2 linked regions of the Lytechinus pictus genome follow. The protein of the gene in region 1 interacts with the protein of each later gene in a pairwise test. Links are inferred from orthologs where the notes say so. Each region holds a gene or a part of one and is shown in the gene's direction. Other genes may lie near its edges.

What was found. The genes of interacting proteins can lie anywhere in the genome.
Region 2: the proteins of heat shock protein HSP 90-beta-like (region 1) and stress-induced-phosphoprotein 1-like interact in binary tests that used the Caenorhabditis elegans proteins (3 or more experiments, as listed by UniProt). The link is inferred for Lytechinus pictus from reciprocal best matches to the Caenorhabditis elegans genes hsp-90 and sti-1.

Annotation. Positions count from the first base shown.
Region 1 is NC_087251.1:7,019,684-7,030,664, reverse strand, and holds the start of heat shock protein HSP 90-beta-like, read left to right. Parts: upstream 1-6,850; 5' UTR 6,851-7,247; intron 7,248-7,906; 5' UTR 7,907-7,937; coding exon 7,938-8,099; intron 8,100-10,981. Other genes in the region: uncharacterized protein LOC129266063, read right to left, coding at 3,228-3,236. UniProt on the Caenorhabditis elegans protein: Molecular chaperone that promotes the maturation, structural maintenance and proper regulation of specific target proteins involved for instance in cell cycle control and signal transduction. Undergoes a functional cycle that is linked to its ATPase activity.
Region 2 is NC_087251.1:32,940,291-32,950,435, forward strand, and holds the start of stress-induced-phosphoprotein 1-like, read left to right. Parts: upstream 1-5,414; 5' UTR 5,415-5,634; coding exon 5,635-5,646; intron 5,647-8,724; coding exon 8,725-8,851; intron 8,852-9,281; coding exon 9,282-9,384; intron 9,385-9,556; coding exon 9,557-9,677; intron 9,678-10,145. UniProt on the Caenorhabditis elegans protein: Plays a role in gonad development. Up-regulates longevity and thermotolerance. Binds daf-21/hsp90 and inhibits its ATPase activity.

The DNA of each region.
Region 1 (10,981 bases):
GTAAAATGGCAGGGGTTATATAATGGGAGAGGTAAAAATGACAGCTCTAGGTAAAATATGGCCAGTCTTAAACCCCCATGCAATGAATTGTCAAAAAGCCCCCGCATGTAAAATCCTGAAGATTTTTCCACATTTTAACATTGGTACAGATCCATTTAAGCAAATGACGATATAACTGTCGAAAAATATTTCCGCTTGAGTGAGCACCACTAACTTTTGAAAAGTTAGTGAAAAATTGGGTGCTGGTTTGTTAAAGGACAAGTCCACCCCAACAAAAAGTTGATTTGAAAAAAAGGAGAAAAATCCAACAAGCAAAACGCTGAAAATCTCATCAAAATCGGGTGTAAAATAAGAAAGTTATGACATTTTAAAGTTTCGCTTAATTTCACAAAACAGTTATATGCACATCCTGGTCGGTGTGCAAATTGGCAGACTGATGACGTCACCCACTCACTATTTCTTTTGTATTTTATTATATGAAATATGAAATATTATAATTTTCTCCTCCTTGTCAAGTGAAAGAAAGTTTATTTTCTCCCTGAACATGTGCAATTACCATTATTTTAACAGTTTATGGTTAAGTTAAGTTGGTCCTTATTGTCAAATCTGTAAAATTTGAGATATTGTATTATTCAAACAATAAAAAACAAAAGAAATAGTGAGTGATGAACATCATCGACTCTCTCATTTGCATATCGCTGAGTTGCGCATTTAACTATTTTGTGAAAAATAAGCGAAACTTAAAAATGTCATAACTTTCTTATTTTACATCCGATTTCGATGAAATTTGCAGCGTTATGTTTGTTTGATTTTTCTCTATCGATTCAAATCAACAATTTTCTGGGGTGGACTTGACCTTTAAAAAGCCGAGAAAAAAAAGTTTTCACTCCAAAAATTTGGTTAAGGGGGAAAATGACACAAAAAATTATTTCAACTAAATGAAGTTCTTTTAGGTCAGAAAAAGAATTACAACAAAAATAATAACAATTAGATAATAAACAATGTTTTTTCTTCTGTTTGAAAAATAACAGAGTATTTGTATAAAATGTCTACATTTTAGCATACCAAGCTAATTACCAAGAGGGTGCTGCTTATGGTGTACAAAATACCCAACAGTACTTCCGCTTCCAAGGGTTATGACCATCAAGACGTTTATATCATATTGGATGCAGTGGTAAAGGTTCAGGGTCTTCTTTTATGCAAAGAATCTGAACCAGACGGTCCCCCTCGATCGACCCCAAATTGGTTTACCAGTCAAAACAAGATTATTATTGATTTTCATAATCAGTTACATATTCAGTGCCAAGCCTGGGAACGCATGCTTATTGTCATTCAATTATTTAAAAAGAATAGTACAGACGACATTACAAATAAGGACATAATATTTAACGACAGTCATTCGTGAAAATTTCAACGTCTAAGCTTTCCCCGCTATGTTCTCTATGTTTTCCCCGCCCCTAACCATCTCTGTCTCTCCACCTCTCTTATGTCTACTCTTCCTCCTTTTTGCATCGGTAAACCTGGCAAACTTTAGATATAAATAAACCAGCCAGACAAAAAGGAATGTTATAAAATGATGAATGAGAATAGTGCAGTTTCATTTTGCTCCTGATAAATTGAATGAAAAAATATCTGTCGTTTGATTTCTTTTTAAAAAGCGTTCACGGTACACCTCCAACGAATTCGTAAATAGCATTGTTAGGCCGATGAAGACATAATGATGATGAAATGCCTAACCGTGACATGCACTTCTTATTTAATGTATGTACATGCGGGGGCTTTTTGACAATTCATTGCATGGGGGTTTAAGACTGGCCATATTTTACATAGAGCTGTCATTTTTACCTCTCCCATTATAACCCCTGCCATTTTACCTCTGCCATTATTACCTCTGCCATTTTTACCTCTGCCATTTTTACCTCTGCCATTTTTACCTCTGCCATTTTTACCTCTGCCATTATTACCTCTGCCATTTTTACCTCTGCCATTTTTACACCGAGCCGTTTTGTCATCAAAAAGAATTAAATTAGATGTGTGTATTCAATATTTCATTACAAGCAGTTTAGCATTTCGAAATTTCATTCCAATAAAAGCATGAAGTATTAACATAATGAATTCCTAAAATTATTGTATTGTCTCCAAAAAGATTTAAATTACATGTGTGTAATCAATATTTCATTTCATACAATTCAAAAATTTTCACTTCAATAATAAATGCAGTTATTCAAAAAGTTACTGTATTGCCTCCAAAAAGGTTTTTAAATGTGTATAATTAATATTTCATTACTACCAATTTAAAATTTCATTCCAATAATATGCATGTAGTATAATTGATATATCAATTCCTAAAAATTACTGTATTGCCTCCAAAAAGGTTTATATTAGATGTGTGTAATCAATATTTCATTCAAACAATTCAAAAATTTCATTCCAATATAAAAGCATTTAGTATAACATTAATTCAAAAAGTTACTGTGTAGAAATAATTATCAATATTTCAGTACGAACAAATTAAAATTTCATTTCAATAAAAGAAATGAATAAAATATACAGTGGCGTAACAGGCGGGGGGCAAGCTGCCCCCCTTGGTGGATTTCACCGGGAAAGTATAGTACTGCCCAAAAAGTTCTACAACCGAGAACAAAAAAGAAAAGATGAAAGGAAATGAAAGGAAGATGTAAGACATGATGTTATTTTCTGAATACCATATCAAAATCAATCTCAAACTAAAGTTAGACTCTCGTCTCATAGAAGGTAATTTTTTTTCTCGCTCGTGCACGTGCCATGCTGTGCTCCCTCTATTTGTACTTATCACACGTTGAGCTTCGCCCTAATACTCGGGGTACAATAAAAAAAAATCCTGTACATACCATGATATGACCGGGAAATTTTTGGCTCTTGCCCCCCTCCCCCCCCCCCCCCCCTGGCCACCGACCATTGTTACGCCCCTGGCTTTATAGGCCTAGAATCTTCTTATCGCAATAGTACTGATAGTATACACTAAAATAAATTGTGACCAAAGCCAAAGGGCATTAGCAACATTTTATCACGATGGTTATTCTAATTCTTCCAGAGTAAGTGCTGCCCGAAGTGATGCTTCAAGATGATGAAGTCGAAGATTATAAACGCACTGGTTGTCTTCTTTCAAGTTCAAAATGATCTGGGATATAGAAAATAGGCCTACATGAATCAGTGAAACTGGAACATACACACATTGCAATACTCACGTACGCCATGAACAGCTACACGCACAATAATATTTAAATCCCAATATGGTACAGTTTTTGCAAGATGTAGGTCCTTTGTGAGACCACATTAATATGCGTACAATGTCATGTCGCAAGTTTAATGTTCGCCACTTGCACTGTGGGGAATCCCAGCTGGGATTCCCGCGTCTATGGCAAACCGTTTGTGTAAAAACTATATAAACTCTTTTTTTCTCAGATAAACCGAGTTTATCTGAAAAACTGTGTTTATCAACTGATATAACACAGTTTTTCACAGATAAACTGAGTTTATCAACTGATAAACTAAGTTTATCAACTGATAAACTTAGTTTTTCAAGAAGAACTTAGTTCTTCTTGAGAAAAACTGTGTTTATCTGAGATAAACTGAGTTTTTCTGAAAAGAACAGTTATTTGAGAAAAACAGAGTTTATCTAATTTTTACACAAACGGCTTGCCATACGCGTCATGTGGAAATACCCAATGTCAAAGCAAGGTCAGCACATGAATTGCACATTGCTTTTTAGTGGATCCACTGTATAAAAAAATAAGATTGACTAAGATCTAGTCAGGAAAATCTATCAGAATTTTATTTCAGAACCGGGAAGTAATTTTAATGCTGATAGATGCTATAAATATGGTTATTAAAAGAATTTAAGTTCTTGGTCTTTTTTTAAATATTTATATCACGCATAATATCTGTAGCTATCGTATCCTAAGGTTTTGTTTGTTTTATTTCCGAAATTATAAAAACACAATATAACATAAACAATAACTCACAAACAACAACCATGTCCATGATAGTGTAGGCCTATATGATATGGTTGGATGGCCCGTGAGAGCTGATATAATATAAATCTGTGTTCAATCATGGGATGGGGTCTGACATAATGATAACAATATACATAAACAATTGTATAACATAGGCTATGTTATAGCATGTTTGTTTTTATGTCTACTGTATTATATGCCTATATAAAACAACCATACATACCAATAACAAATATCACAAGAAGATAATAGACTCAGTCGCATGTCTCCTCCGGTGTCCGCACGGTGTGTCGAAAAAAAGCCGTTTTACGGATTTTTATATAAACTCAGGAAGCTGGTAAAAAAAATCGTAGGCCCCCTTCGCGAAATTGCGGCTCAACAGTGGCGTAACAGGCGGGGGGCAGGGGGCAAGCTGCCCCCTGGCGGATTTCACCGGGAATTTTTTTTTTTAACGGGAAAAGGAGAAAAGGGAGGAAGAGAGAAAGGGAAACAAAGAAAGGAAAGAGGAAAAGGAAGAAGGGAAAAAAATGAAAAGAAAGGGCAAGGAAATAAATAGGGAAAATGGAAGGAAAGCGGGATAAGGAACGAAAGAAGAACATGTGACGGGAAAATGGGAGAAAGAGGCAAAAAGAAACAGGAAATGAAGGTAGATCCGAAAATCAGAAGAAAAGGGACAAGAAAAAAAGAGAAAAACTTAATAACCCGACCGAGCTGCCGAGAATTGAAAAATATATAGAACGGGAAGAAATGTGGATGGCATCTAAAATAAGCTTGCTAAATTATATGCAATAATTAATGGTCGCAATCAGGACAAAAAAAATCTTTAGCCAAGGGTTAGCCAAGGGCTAGTTATATCCCTCTATCCTAACCTAAGTAAAGCTTTCCGCGGGGCTTTGCGCTGGCTAGATTTACCGTAAAAGCCTTAAAATTAATGTTCACTTTGGGTAAATTTCCAAAGCTACTAGAATAAAATCATATTAAAAGACCAAATTTTTCTGGCTCGATTCGCTCGCTGGAGACTTTACAAATTTTTCCATATTTGCTATGTTGTGCTGCCTAAAAATATTTCGTTCATTATCAGCGATTTGATAAAAAAGTGGTCATTTGCGATTTTATTAAAGGAGAATGAAACTCTTGGAGCAAGTTAGCTTTTGTGAAAGCAGAAAAATCAGAGAATAAGATCAACAAAATTTTGAGTAAAATAGGACTAGCAATAGAAGAGTTATGAGCATTTGAATGTCGAGATCACTAATGCTATGGAGATCCTCCCATTGGCAATACGACCAAGATCTATGATGTCACAGATGAACAACTCTCCCCTTTTGGACACTGAAAATATAGCCCAAAACATCTCTTTTTGCTCATTCTAATCATATGACAAACGATTCATCAATGATATAATGTTGTGAAACCTCTGTACTTGTCCTCTCATAAAGAGAACACCTCACCTTGTGATAGACTCTATAAAAGTGAGAATATAAGTGAAATAAGTACTAAAGTAATGAGGGAGTTGTACGTGTGTGACATCACAGATCTTGGTCGCATTGCCAATGGGAGGAACTACATGGCATTAGTGATCTCAATATTCAAATGCTCATAACTTTCTTATTATTCATTCAATCTTCCTCAAACTTTCAACAATATGTTTCTTTGATTTTTCTCTTTGATATGGATTCAGCTGGTTTCAAGGGTTTCATTCTCCTTTAAATATCGCGAGGTTCCGGGGGCTCCGCTCCAGACCAGTGGCGGCACCAAGGCGGGAGGCACGGGGGGCATTTCCCCCCTGTGAGTTGCCCCCCCCAAAAAGATAAGTAGATAACTTGTTCACATCCAATGTTCAAGTCAATATTTATTAGAGTTTTCATTAATCGTTAATACACATCCTGCGTATTCATAGTTTTCATATATCAAAAACTTTTCAGCTCGTGCTACGCACTCGCATCAATTGTTTGATTAAATAGCCATCCAGTTCATAATTACAAAAAGTGCTTGGAACGTCCAAGGAAAATTAAATTTTTTTTAAATTGCATTGATTTGAATATGGAAACACACACACTAAAGTGGTCTGAATCTATATTTCTTCAGCAAAAAAATTAAAAAATGAGGTGGGACTAGAAAAGTGTGAGGAACTAGTCTATATAGAAACAGCTTATTCATTTTCCTGATTTCTCGGTTATCTGAGCGAGTTAAAGTATTTTTGCCATAAACCATATATAACTTAAAATGTGCTCTTCCTCAATTCTGATTAATTTTCAAAATTTATCTGTTTTTCTGTTATGATACACACCGATGCGATTTGTTGCCAACATGTGGAAGATTCAATTACATTTTCCTTTCTGTAGCTGTGCTTGCACAATCAAAGTTTGATGCGCAGATACATTAGCGATAGAGAATAAACCATGGATCATACTAGAACTATTTATGATTGGTTTGGTGAACATTATAGCACCAATTTGTGCAATTGTTGGAAATCGATAAATACATCTACCCTACCCCCCAAAAAAAATATCGTGATAAAATGCCGCTTTTTTACAAAGATCGTGCATACAATCGGGCATTTAAATCGATGAATATTCAAATTGAATCTGATTGGTGAATTTTACCGCTTTATTTGGACGAAAACATTTTTCGATCGGTAAGCAGTACATGATACTTTTGTATTCTTTACATTTTTATGGATACTTTATTGGTGTTGCTAGTAGTAAAATATATAATAACTAGTTCATCATCGCTTTTTTATTTTTATTTTGCAAGAATAAAAATCAAATTACACGACAATAATTTGACTTGATTAAATATTTACCCTCAATTAAAGTATTGGAAAACCCTATATCCGCATCCGGTGTCGAATATGCTAGAAAAACCGAAGCACATCTGATAATGAACATATAGTTCTCAAAGGAAATATAAAAAAATAAAACCAGAAATTAAAAATTTGAGTAAAATTGAGTACGATTTTATCTATGTTCTTGAAAAATTAGTTAAAATACAATTTTTGACTTCATAAGCCTAAAATATTGGAATTGAATGGCCGCGGATTAATATCAATTCATCCCCGCGCCAGTGCATGCAGAATGCAATTCCCATATGCATCCTCGGCGCCGCCTCGCCATATTGTGTGTCGGATCGGTCGCACATGTTCATATCCATTCATTCATTAATCACGCGAGAGTGTTTCGGTGCCGTAGACTGTCTTGACTTGTCCTGCTCCTGACGAATCTTCTAGAAGAGAATTTTCGAGAATTTGAAGAGGTAAGTTAGGTATATAAGATCTTTCTACCTGAATTCTAAGTTTATTCTACATTATTTCCTTATTCAACTCAATTGACTAAGTCAGACAAGTGAAGTTTGGATCGGGTTTACAAGGGCAGGCTTGACTGGGAGTTGAATTGAAGTTGAATGAATCTGGTCTGGATATTGTGAAACGCTTTGTGACAAAGTTTGTCTAAATTTGATTTAAGATCTGAAGAGTGGTGAGATTTATTGTGTCTTTATTGTCTAGATATGATTCTTGATCATGGTTTCAACTAGCCTAGTCTTACTCTTACTAGTCTGATCAACTTTTGATAGATCTAATCTCTAATTTCTAAAGCCAGACCTAGAATCTAGATCTGTTTCAATTTCATCAAAATTTTGCTCCTTGTCTGGCATGTCTGGGGACATTTTTTTCAAAATGAAAATTCTCTTTTAAAACTTTTTAAATAAAAGCAGTGTTTTTTTAAAATATTTATGCTGGGGGGGGGGGGGGCAGTCAAATATTTTGCTGTATACATGCGTGACCAAAAAATGCTTTTAAAGGTTTTTTTTCCAGTTTTGTACGCGGAATCTTTGCCCATGGCATACTATGTCTATAGCATAGGTCTAGCCTAGGTTAAAAATCTGTGGTAAAGTTTTTTATTCTTTCATTGCAGTCAGTTTTAATACAGATCACAAAAAACCACCATGTCAACTGAAACCAAACGTCCAGAAGAACCAATGGAAGCTGAAGAGGCAGAGACCTTTGCCTTCCAGGCAGAGATTGCTCAATTGATGAGCCTCATCATCAACACATTCTACTCAAACAAGGAGATCTTCCTTAGAGAGCTCATTTCAAATTCATCTGATGTAAGTTTGTTTCATCAATTCCAAATTGCAGCGCATGCAATAATATTGGATAGGGTAAAAGGAAAAGATGAATTTTCTTCTTAACTGAAAGGTGTGTACACTCTGGGCTCTGGCAGAAAAATATGACAATCAAAACACTGAAAATTTGATTAAATTTTGACAAAGATAATCAAAGTTAAGACAATTTTAAAAGCTTGACATTATTTTGGTGTTAAGTTCTTTGGATGTCTTCATGAATATACATTTAGCAAATTGATGTCATATCCTCACTTGATCTGTCTATACAAAATTATGTTTATTCAAATAAAAAAATTTGGACAACTGGTATTCTTGCTACAAGATTTTTATTACATGGGAGACATCATACACACATTTTCTCACATAATAACATAAGAAAATAGAAGGTGGGGCCCGGGGGGGGGGGGGGGGGGTACTTCCATTGACGAGTGGATACCATGCGCGACCATGGGGTCTTGAAAAGCACCCTAAACACGTATTTTCGTCGGTTTTACCTTTACCTACATCATTGGGTTTAGTACAGCCACACCTCGCGCAAATCATATTCTAAACACAGTGTTGACTCTTGGGGCAAAAAGTACGGTACATCCTTTATAAAACATTTTAGTCTTGATTTTTTATACTTTTTTTCAGCATGGAGTACCCCGTTTACTTGTCCCCAATGTTGGAATGTGATAAACTTAAGTTAAGGAAAGATCTAAAAGTTTTTAGATCCGATCTATTCTAAGCCCAGGATTATACAGCCTTAAAATTTCTAGATTAAAAGTTTAGTTTGACCTCAGAAGGCAATTCCCGGATAAAGTAGGCATTGTTTCAAAATTTACTTGCTTTTCCCCCAAGTTCAGAACGGTTTCATTTTGAATTTCATTTTGAAATTTTAGAGCACCCCTGCTATAATTCATATACGATCTTCAATCCAAATGTCTAGATATCCTTGGTCATAGGAGGATCTGAACCACACAGCAAATTAGTCATTTCAGAGTACAGTTCACTGACTTTTAAAGAAACTAGCTGTGTTCGTTAACTAAAAAGAATATAGAGTTCTACTTGGACTTTGCATGAGTCACCTTCCATAGATTGAATAATCACTTGTGAACACCAACTGAATTGCTGAGAAGGTATCTATTTAGAACTGGAAATATGATCAGAGATTTGTTGATCTAATACTGTAATAAAATAGAGATGTAACGATTGAAATTCCATGTGGATGCATTTGTCAAACATAGATATTTGTTATTTTTTTAACTGGGACTTACAACAAGGGATAGGTCTTACTATATCATTTTAGCCTTTAAGGAGATCAACAAACCAGAGAGCAAAATATTATCAGCTTGGTCCATGGACGGGAGGATTATTGTAACTGTACGATGTACAAACAACAAAACTATGAAAAAGCAAATCAACTCAAAGGAAGACCTTGTCAAACTTATATGAATAATTTTGCCTTAAAGGATGATAATCCTTCTACTCTTTTCACCATAGCATGAACACTCACTTTATAATATAAAGTGAAATGACTTCCAGGCCAGTGACTTACACTGCAACTCACAGTTATCATCGAAACATTTGTTATCAATCTCTTCAGTTTTTGTATTCTGTTCTATTACATTGTCTTTTTACTTTTTACATCCTAATTTGTGTACTACTACGAAATTTGCCTGTTTTACTCATATTTTGTCACCTCTTGGTTCAATTTTGCATAGTATACCGTTCGCTAGTTTTAAACATTTTGTTCATTTCAACTTTTCTATTCTAAGTGTTTATTTGTAAAATGTTTGTAAATCCCTTACCTATTGATACTGACACAATGTTACATTTACAGTATGCTGACGACAGCAACAATTCCTCTGAATCTTGTTACTATACTCCAAACCAGTTTAATAATTGTAATATCCTTAAAAATGAAGATCCTAAGAATATGTTTTCTCTTTTACACGTTAATTGTCGGAGTGTTCCAAAGAACTTTGAAAACTTATTAGTATTTCTCAATAGTATTGACCTTGAATTTACAATCATTGGCCTTTCTGAGACATGGCTCAAACCTAATTCACATATACCTCTTTATTACTTGGAGAATTATGATATGTTAACGAATAATCGAATATGTAAACAGGGAGGTGGAGTTGCAGTATATATTAATAAATCTCTAGCATATAAACAGAGACCAGACTTAACGTACATGTTTGAATCTCTAGAAACCATATTTATAGAGGTTAAACCAAACAATAACTCACGCTCTTGGTATATTATTGGTATAATTTATAGACCTCCCTCAGGAAATGTAGATGATTTTATTTGTAAAATGAATTGTATTCTGAGTATTGTCAATAACGAGCACAAAAAATGTTATTTGCTTGGTGATTACAACATAGATCTCAATGATATGAATGCTTCTCAAACCACCAAGAACTTCTCTGACTGTATTAATACCAATTCTTTAACGCCGCTAATAACTGTACCCACACGTATTACTGGTCACACTGCAACCCTCCTAGACAATATATTAACGAATGATGAAAATAACTTAATGAATGGAGTGTTTGTTTCCGATGTAAGTGACCACTTACCTGTTTTTATCATCACTGAAATCCCTTCCTCAATAGATAGTCTTAGCAATGCTTATTCTAAACGGTCAATTTCAGACACTTCCATTGCAACCTTTTACCATAAACTCTCTTCCGTCAACTGGCCTATTAATGATGATGATCCAAATAGTAGTTATGATAGATTTTTATCAATATTCCTTAAATTATACAATGAATGTTTTCCTATTATATCTGCTAAACATAAAAGCTCTTTAAATAAACCTTGGTTCAATAAACATTTAAAATGCCTGTCAAAGAAGAAACTAAAATTGTATCGTA
Region 2 (10,145 bases), about 26 Mb from region 1:
GAATCAAGAGGATCCAGGGAGTTTGAATTTTCGACCCCCTCGCCCCACCTGCGACATGGAAAATTGGGCAAAATTGAGCAAAATAATATTTGTTCAATATTTCCCCCGAAACCCCCCCAAATCAGCCGTCTTCGCTCCCTGGGATGTTTTAGCATCCTAACCGATTATTACAGCGAGAATCAAGAGGATCCAGGGAGTTTGAATTTTCGACCCCCTCGCCCCACCCGCGACATGGAAAATTGGGCAAAATTGGCCAAAATTGAGCAAAATAATATTTGTTCAATATTTCCCCCGAAACCCCCCCAAATCAGCCGTCTTCGCTCCCTGGGATGTTTTAGCATCCTAACCGATTATTACAGCAAGAATCAAGATGATCCAGGGAGTTTGAATTTTCGACCCCCTCGCCCCACCCGCGACATGGAAAATTGGCCAAAATTGAGCAAAATAATTTTTGTTTAATATTGCCCCCTAACCCCCCCAAATCAGCCGTCTTCGCTCCCTGGGATGTTTTAGCATCCTAACCGATTATTACAGCGAGAATCAAGAAGATCCAGGGAGTTTGAATTTTCGACCCCCTCGCCCCATCCGCGACATGGAAAATTGGGCAAAATTGAGAAAAATAATTTTTGTTTAATATTGCCCCCGAAACCCCCCCAAATCAGCCGTCTTCGCTCCCTGGAATGTTTTACATGTAGGTTTTATAGGAAAGAAAATTGTAGGCCCTATAATTCTATATACAAAACTTAGGGATTTTCTTCACTTCAAATTGCCAAGTTTTTTTTCTAAAAACAACACCCCTTTAATAATTGATCTAAAAATCCTCTTTACAGTAAATAGGTAAAAGAAATAGAATACAGTATGAAAAATTCTTCATAACAGTCACCAAGAGAATTTCAATTATCATGGTTATTTTTATCCACAGATCAGAAACCAAATCCTGTAGTTACCGGTAATGGAAATGCTTTTTCTCCAAGCATATTATTTGTGCACTGGTTTGAAAATTGATAGAAAGGCATTTGATAAGATATTTAACCTGTAAAACAAATCAAAGTACTAAAATGTGTGTACATCCTCAGAAGTGTATTAAACTTATCAAACAGATAGCTTGTCTACAGGGCAGCGGCCAGCTCTCAGAGAATACATTCAAATCAGAAAACACAAAAGAGGATACATAAATCAATTTTTTGTTGACTGCCTGTTCAACTTATTGTTTTTGTTAAAAATTGGAAGAGTCTAAAATATCCATCAAAGAGGTACGTTAATATCTATATTAGATATTAACATACAATATAGTCATCAGTCTTATCAGACAGTGTTTGACTTAATTAATTCAGTGTGTTTTTTTTTCTTTTATTCCCCTTCTTTCCCTTCCTGTTCAGTAGTCTCCAGTCTTCGTTAGCACAGAGGGTGACCCAGGATTTTCTGAATTATATTATCACCTTTATTACACACCAACCACTTCGGGTTTTTTTTTTAACAAAGAGGGACCCCCCACTCACTTCTAGGGTCTTATACTTTACATGTTATTGTAGTGCACATCTACCAACTGATAAATCTTGACTAGATCTAGGCCTCTACCCCTGGCAATAGAAAACAGTATTATAATTTATATCCCTTATTTAAGATTGTTGTATTGAGAGTGTACACAAGGAGAAAAAGAATAGTTTTACTACGAAAAACGGTTGCCATGAAATAGTTCATTTTCCTTGCTGACGTCATGCATAGTCCATTTTTTCCCTAGGGAAAAAGTGAACTATACGTTTTTTGACCCCGCCCCCTACTCGATTCGCGAGCTGTGCGGCGCGATGCGAGCAGAGCGCTGCTCAGCCCAACGGTACTCTCTACTGCATGCCACGGGAAACTTTCGGCGAGCTGCACTAACCAGGTTCGCTCGCTGAACAGACGATCAATACGACAAGGCTTATTGTTTTCTCAACTTCTCAACGATTGTTCCATCATCGACTTATTAAAAATCGTTTTGCTGTAAAAGTCGGGTATCAACAAAGAATATCGTATGAAGAATATATATGAGTGGAAGGGATATAAAACAAATATACAATGACCCATTCTCGGAACTGGCTAAAACTATTTGCACTTAGGAACATCACATAGTACTATTCTCCCTCGGGCCGATGGCCCTCGGGAGAATAGTACTGATGTTCCTTCGATGCGAATAGTTTTAGCCAGATCCTCGAGTGTCATTGTATATTTGTATAATATTAGAGCTACACTACCCTATTCCATAGCTCTATCATAAACCCAGGGGGCTCCACCACCAAAGCGAAGGCAGCGGAGGCCCCATCTCCCGAAGGTCTAAGTTAGAACCTACACATGTACTACATGTACTGGATTCTATTTGAATTTTAATGTCAGAGTTAAAAAGTCAGGTTTAAGATAAGACATAGAAGAGATCTAGAGTAACATTTGTGGTTCTAGTAGATCTATAATGTTAGCTTACTAATGATGTAAAGACAGTTTCAATCTTGGGCCCTAGAATAGACTAATTACAAGCGATTGCTCGTATTGCCTGAGCTAGATATCTATCCTAGATCTCTTGTATTGCTAAACTAGATTAGGTCCTGCATTAGGTCTCGATTTTGATCTATAAAGCATGAATGGAAGGAGCCCCAGCCAGACCCAGTCCAGGGGCAGGGCTGCACCACCCCATTCCCTGGCCAGGACCAAGGTCCAAACCGGGGTAGGCCTAGACTAAAGTAGTAATGGTAGGGCCAGCTCAGCTCATCCAAAATTTCTTAGATCAACAAGACAACAGTTAGATCTAGACTAAGTCTAAATTAGACGCTTAGTCCTAGATAGAAAACTATCTACTGTAAATCTAGACTAGGAGTTAAAAGGGGCCAAGCAAGTACTTGCTAGGGCCTGGCCCTGCATGGCCATGCCTATTTCATGCTTTTTTTTAAATCTCCGAACAGTTAAGTTAGGGCCTACATAGTCATAGTCATAGATAGGCTCAGCCCAACTTATTTAGGCCTGTGCTTGGCCCTAACTTCCGGCTAGGCCTAGAAATAGTCGAGGGCCTGGCTCTAACGGTCAGTGAGTGATAGAGTAAATTTTGTATAGGTAGACTCTAATCTAAAGAGAGGGTCTAGTCTAATCTAGACTAGGCCTAACGTTAGAACTTGGATCTAGGCCTAGTATTAGAATTTTCCAGGAAGGGCAGGGGTGCTCCTACGGCCGGGCCTAACATCGTTAGGTTTAAAATCAATGAAAATGTCCTGAAGGTTAATTAAAACTTTTTTTCTGTCAGTGTTGATTCCATGCATTATGATTAAGCCATTATTTGTCTGTGTCAGACGCCGGAACCTCCGCTCCGGCTAGCACTGCCGGCGTTGTACGGCTAAAAGCAGCCGGGGAGCATCCGAGCAATTATTGCATAAAATTGACGGCGATAATAATTCATTTAAAAGATCTATTTATACTTTGAAACTTTGAATTCTGATCAGAACGTGAGATATATCTATTAAGCTACGATATATAGCAATGATCTTTGGATACATACCAAAATATGCCTCTATCCCGTCAAAATGGGAAGTCGAAGACACTTTCTCGCACGAACTTGATTTATGGTCAATTATGGGGCTAATCATTGTTAAGGGCATCCTTGCGCAATGTTGCCAGCGCGAACCACCAGCTCAAACTTTTTGACATGTCGTGTAATAAGACATGGAAATTAAATATTCTGAGCTGGTTTTGCAATCATGAAAAAGATGTGTATCTAACTAAAAAATAACTGTACGCTCGCTATTTTTTTTATATACTGACCAGTAAAGGAAGCAGTTAATTACTGCATTTTAAATAGGATACATAACTCACCAATAAAAATAATGCGAGCGCAAAGCGCGAGCTCAAAAATATGTGATATTCCAACATGAAAACTGGACATTCTAAGTATTTTTTGTGAACGGGAAGAGAACGAGTACAATAATTGATGCGAGTGCAGGAAGCGAGCCAAAAAATTGTGATATTCCAACCATAAAGCAACATTCTATACATTTTTGTAACCATGAGCAGGATTAGTACTGTACTAAACAATAATTGGTGCAAGCCGCGATTCAAAATCTGTGATTTTCGAACCTAAAATGTATTATGTTTTATTATTAAAGAAGGTATATTTATTTTTAAAAAAGGGCATATTTCATTTGGAAAAAGAAATCCTACAGGGATTTGGGGGGGGGGGGGGGGTGCAAGAGAGCACAAAGCGCAAGCTAAAATTTTCAAATGCTTAAACTGAAAATGAGTCATTTTTACGATTCTTGTCAGTTTTCATATTTTTTTTTTGCTTACAACCACTTTTAAATTTCAATTCTCATTTCTTGTATCTTCTACACTTATTTCACCTTAAAAAAACAGAATAAAGAATACTAACAAAATAAAGTTATATTCAAAAGGATATAAAATAAACAGGGCGCACACCATATCCTTAGTTGGGAGAGGGTAAATCTTAATTATTTCTTTAAACAGTCCTTAATTATTAATACTTATTGATAATATCAATAATTATTGATTATTCAATTATTATTTTTGTATTAATTATTATTTCTTGAAACTATATTGACACAAAACAAATACGTTGTTTATTTCATTGAAACTGTAGAGACATGAAATTCACTACCTTGAGGAATTCCAATACTACTTCATCTTTTAAAACTAACTTAAAAACCTACTTGTTTAACACTGCATTCTGAAGATCGACAGGCATTCATTTATCTATTTCAACTTGTATTTTTCTTGTTCTAGTTCACTTGTTTCTTACATTAAATTATAATTCTAGCTCCTCTTTTTCAAGCGCCTTGAGCATTTCAACAAAGTGGATAATGGCGCTATATAAATCTCATGTATTATTATTATTATTATGTAAATTTGACTGAAAAAAAGGTTTCACAACAAAATTAAGGTCGTTTTGGTGCCAAGAAATTTGATAAGCCAAAAAATGGGTTTCAACACAAGATGTTGGTCATTTTCCATACATTTCTCTTATAATTATGTGACACATGCACCTATACCAAAATTCTGGAGTGCTGCCCCCGTGCTGCCTATGGAAAATAATACACGCAGCATCCCCTGGGAAAACCTTGGGGGTGCTTCAGCTTCAGCACCCCCAGCAAACTGCTTCCCAGGTCCATGCCCCCGGGCTTTTGCCTTGCCAGCCCCTTTTTTTGGGAGGGGGGGGGGGGGGGTTCGAGTGTCTCATACCCGGTCTCATAGTCATACCCCTCACTCGCTGCTATAGCTAGCTGTGCCAAAGTTTGCAGCATGTGTTTCTTGTTTTACAGTTTCTAATGAGATAGGTAGCCTACTGAAAGCGTCTAGGCTTTTCCAAGGCTTATTAGTCCTAAATTAAAGTGATGCTAAGTATCTCTCTTTTGCTCAAGAGTTGCCATCACGCACACAGCACATATATGAAATTCAAATAATTATTCGCATAAAAAAATATATTTTCTTTCCTTTATTAGAAAAATTTCACTTTTTTAAAGAAGTAATGTGACTTTAATGTTATTAATTTTCACATACTGGCTTGAAGAAAAGCTAAATATTTTTAGGTTAGTGAAAATTTGTTTAGAGAAATGATCCAGAAGCTTCGGAGCAGCTTAGGAACAATCGTATACGGGAAACATGGCAGACGAGGTAATATATGTGCAATATTTTCGCATTTCAACCATTGTAGAATAAGTGAAGACGTAGATGATTTATTTACGATTTTAAGGTTGATAATTGAATATAAAGTTTTAATTTCATTATCGTGAAATAAAAGAAACCCGCGTTAAATTCGTTAGCGCTCTTCGCAATCGCACTCGCAGATTGAATTGCAGTGCATTGCATGCAGTGCAGATTTCGCATCCACAGACTGACACAGTCGTCTGTAGCCAGGCGGCTTCTAACTTTTTAGACTAGAGAGTAAACTAAAAGTCATTTACTTACGTAAGGTTACTCTCCTATGAAGCCAGGCAGTCCTCCCCATTCATCTGCGTGTACCGCATAAACCCTGAAACTTTCGCCCCCGAGATTTCTACTTTCCTTCTAAAAGATCTAGCTCTAAATCATGTATGGCAGTGAGTCCAAACTTCGCGCGTGTCCATACTTCGCGGACGGTCATTATCTAAAAAACTAGCCAATATCCTTAAAATCTGACATCATCAACGTGAAAAGCGACCTAAAATTACCCTTTGGTGTAAATTTCTTTAGGATGAGTTCAGTATTCATGAAAATATTGGCAAAAGATCGGCAAATTTGTCACCGTTAGCGCCCGTTTTGAAGAAATCTGATATTCTCAACAAGCATCACGATATCACCATTTTGCAAGCAGAAATCATCAAAAATGTGAGTTAAATGTGGTACTAACCGATTCTATAACATTTTGCCATCAATCTGATATAAATATTTCACTTTTTGAGCTTGAGTTTTTGTTTAAATGTCCACAAAAACTTTGGTCCGCGAAGTTAGGTCACACTTTTTCTGAACGGTTTTCCAGCACAGCGCGCATTCGCCGATCGGAATAGATTTTTGAGATCGCGATACCGGCGAATCCCCTTGACCTACTTTAAATTTTCGTCCATGATTTTATAGTTTACGATCTTGCCGTCAATGTGGTAACTATTTCTTGAATTGGTTTTGTATAAATTATGAATATTTTGTGAAAAAATTTAAGCCTGATGAATATTTTTGAAAAGTGCGCGAAGTTTGGACACCCCATCATAAATGGGATAAAAACTTCATTTCCGACATTTCTACGCTCTCGTTATTTTTAAAACAAGAATTCATCAAAAAAATGAAAAAATATTGTGAAAAGACGGAAGAGACTTGCCCGATGTTTACGCCGCCATCTTGTTTCTTATTGTACTTCCCCAACGTTACGCGACGCTCGCGTCCGTAACGGGTGGGTAGCAGTCCATGTGAAGAGTGACCCCCCCCGGTACCGTCCTCATCATTAGTACTTAGTAATAGTAGAGTTTATCCATCATAGGGTCAGCAGTACCGCTTGTCTGCCCACACCTTGTCTAGCCTTATTTTGAAACTGTTCACCTGTAAAAGCAATCTTTAGAAGTTGTGTTTTGTTAAATTCATTTTTTTAAAAGTTGTTGCAAGTGCAAAAATGTTGAATTTTGTGAATGTACCTGTGTATAGAATCAATCAGATGACAATAAGATTAAATTATTTCATGGAAAAATACATCGTAATATTACAGTGAGTGAATGAATATTGATAAAAATATTTTATGAAATAATTTGGGCTCTGAATTTGTTTGAAAAATAAAAAGTGAAATTCTAGCTAACCCTTTTAATTGCTAACTGTACGTTCTCAACCTTATTTTTTATACATAAATAGGTGCATATCTTAATTTCTTTACCGCACAGGATGCTTGCAATAGCAAAGCTTTACTGTTGGGGACATTAAATGTGTCAATTTTTTGCGCATTGTAAATTCGCAAAATCTGTGAATATAAAACGCCCGCAAAAATAACAGCTTATAATATCTGCAAAGCTGCTGCATACTGCATGGTCTGTGTTGAGTCTATGCAAATTGCGAGTCCATGCAACACACAATCCGTGCAGTTTTTTGCACATCATTGTAAATTTTTTAATAAATATTTTATCTGCTTTTCATCCTTATTGCCTTATCGTGATATTCACCTCCTTTTTTTATGTGTGTTGTATGTGCTCTTGCCTCTCGGTTTACTCTTTGACTTGACTCTGAGTTTGAAATCGATGTATGATTTCACAGCCACTGAACTAGGGAAATCAGGTCACAGAATCTAGCACTCCCTTAGTACTCTATACGGTGCCGTCTACAGATATCAGTGGATGGGTGGGGGGGGGTGAAAAAACTGTCCACATAACAACAATCTCAATATTATCAAGACATGATTTATTTTTGTTTATGAGGATATCCTAGCTTTCTGGGACGATCCTCATTTTTGGTTGAATGCCTCTACTGAGCTGATGATAATGCCATTAAAAGGATACTCTGGGCCCGAGAAAATATCAAAATAAATAGAATAAACTTCACTGAGCAAAACACTGAAAATTCCACCGAAATGTGATGAAATAACATAAATATTGAATTTTAAAATTTAGCAGTATTATGTTTGAACAGTTATATGCACTGTTATGAATATGGAAATAGTTGGGCTGATGATGTAATGTCTCCACTTTTCATTATTGTTATTACCAGGGCCGAGTCAAAACGTTTAAACGATGTTCAAACGACTGTTAAAAGCATCAATGGTTTTCTATTTTGACAAATGCTTAACTGTATATAGCCAGTCTTGGTCTACACCAAGGCAGAACTGACTTCAACTGAGTATTCTAAGGGCTTTAGATGTATTCTTCTGCCCTATCAAAATTCTCTTGACTCTTTATCGAATCTTTAGACAGGCTTGAAGGCGCATAGCATTCAAGCGTGAATAGGAAATTAATTTAGCCTAGGGCCAAGGCATATGAACAATTGTAGGAGGAGCTGTTTGTGCCAGAAAATAAAGCATTTATCCACTAGATCAAGAGAAAATATGCATTAGAATTGGCATTGCATTGGTATCCACTTCTACCTCCTTAAGTTCTGATTTTGGTCTTGCTCTGCTTCCATTTTACTTCGTAGAAGGGGGCCCAAATATGTCTGCACCATGTGCGTGAGCCTATCCAAAATTGGACTTCAGATTAAACGTGTTTTTTATTTTACCTGACAAGTATTTGATACTCCCATTACCAGGCTTTGAAACTGAAGGAGCAAGGGAACGCTGAATACAAGAAGAAGAATTTTGATAAAGCCATTGAACTCTATACCCAAGCCTTTGAAAAAGATGGAACTAACATCTCATATATCACAAACAGAGCTGGTAAGTAAAATGAGACCCTTTAGTTGCTAATTATGAAACTTTTTTTCCTAGTGTCAGTTTGAAATGGATTAGGCCTTATGCAATCTTCAGTTTTTAATATTTGTATTTTTGCCTTTGACAAATGTTCCAAGAATACATCCAAAATTTAGTTTTTAGAGCAAATGATACAGACCTTTTCTTAAAAGAAGTGAAAAATGTAATCACAATATTATTTCAGGAGCTATATGCAAAGTAAGAATAAGTGGTAGACTCAAGAGCTAGTTACAATTTTGCATTAATGTAATTTCATTTAGAAATGAATGTTTGCATGCAACCATGCTGTAATTAATTCACACATATTTTCACCAGCAAGCAAGTTTCAGGTGATTTGTATCCTGATTGAGATGAGTGGACAATGTTGTAATTGACCTTATTTTTCTTTTGACGACAGCTGCACATTTTGAGAAAGGAGATTACACGTTATGCAGGGAGGATTGTTTGAAAGCAGTAGAAGTTGGCAGAGAGAATCGAGCTGACTTTAAAATGATTGCTAAGTAAGAATTCTTCTATCTTTCAACCATTTTGCAAGTTTGGTATTGATAATGATGCTGTTAATATTAATTTATGTAGTTTTTAATAACTACTTGTATATAGGCATGCAATAAATCTAAGACTTTCTTAATAACCTAATAACACTCATTTATTCAACTGTTCATTGCATTTCAGAGCTTTTTCAAGAATAGCATCGTCATATACCAAAGAAGATGATCTAAAAAATGCAATGCTTTATTACGACAAGTCTCTAGCAGAGAATAGAATCCCGGATACACTGAAGAAGAGACAAGAGGTAAACTATATACCAAAGTGACAGTTCCTTCTTCATTTTTTTTTTTCGATAATGCTTTTTCTTGATTTTAGTTTTGTTAGGTTAGAATCACATTCAGTCAGGATATGTTATTTTTAGTTCAAGGAGCTTGCTTTCTTTGTTAGAATATATTTTTGGGTTGGTTGTCTATTTTGAAATAAATAATCTTCCTTGAAAAGTATATGGCTAACGGCAATTTGAGGAATATGAGACTTGAATGGGTGTACATGTAATTTGAAATTGGCTATATATGTGATGTGGAAGGGTGATTGTTTCTGTGTATGGGGGGGGGGGGGGGGTTAACTACTATCTGAGAGTACAAGCAAATGGCCCCTTTATGGAATTAGAGCAACAATCATGTATGTATTCAAGGAAGTCAAATGCCTGCCATTGTCATTCTTGACTCACCTTGTTTTTCCTCATTTGTACCAACGGTACTGTCTTGGCCTT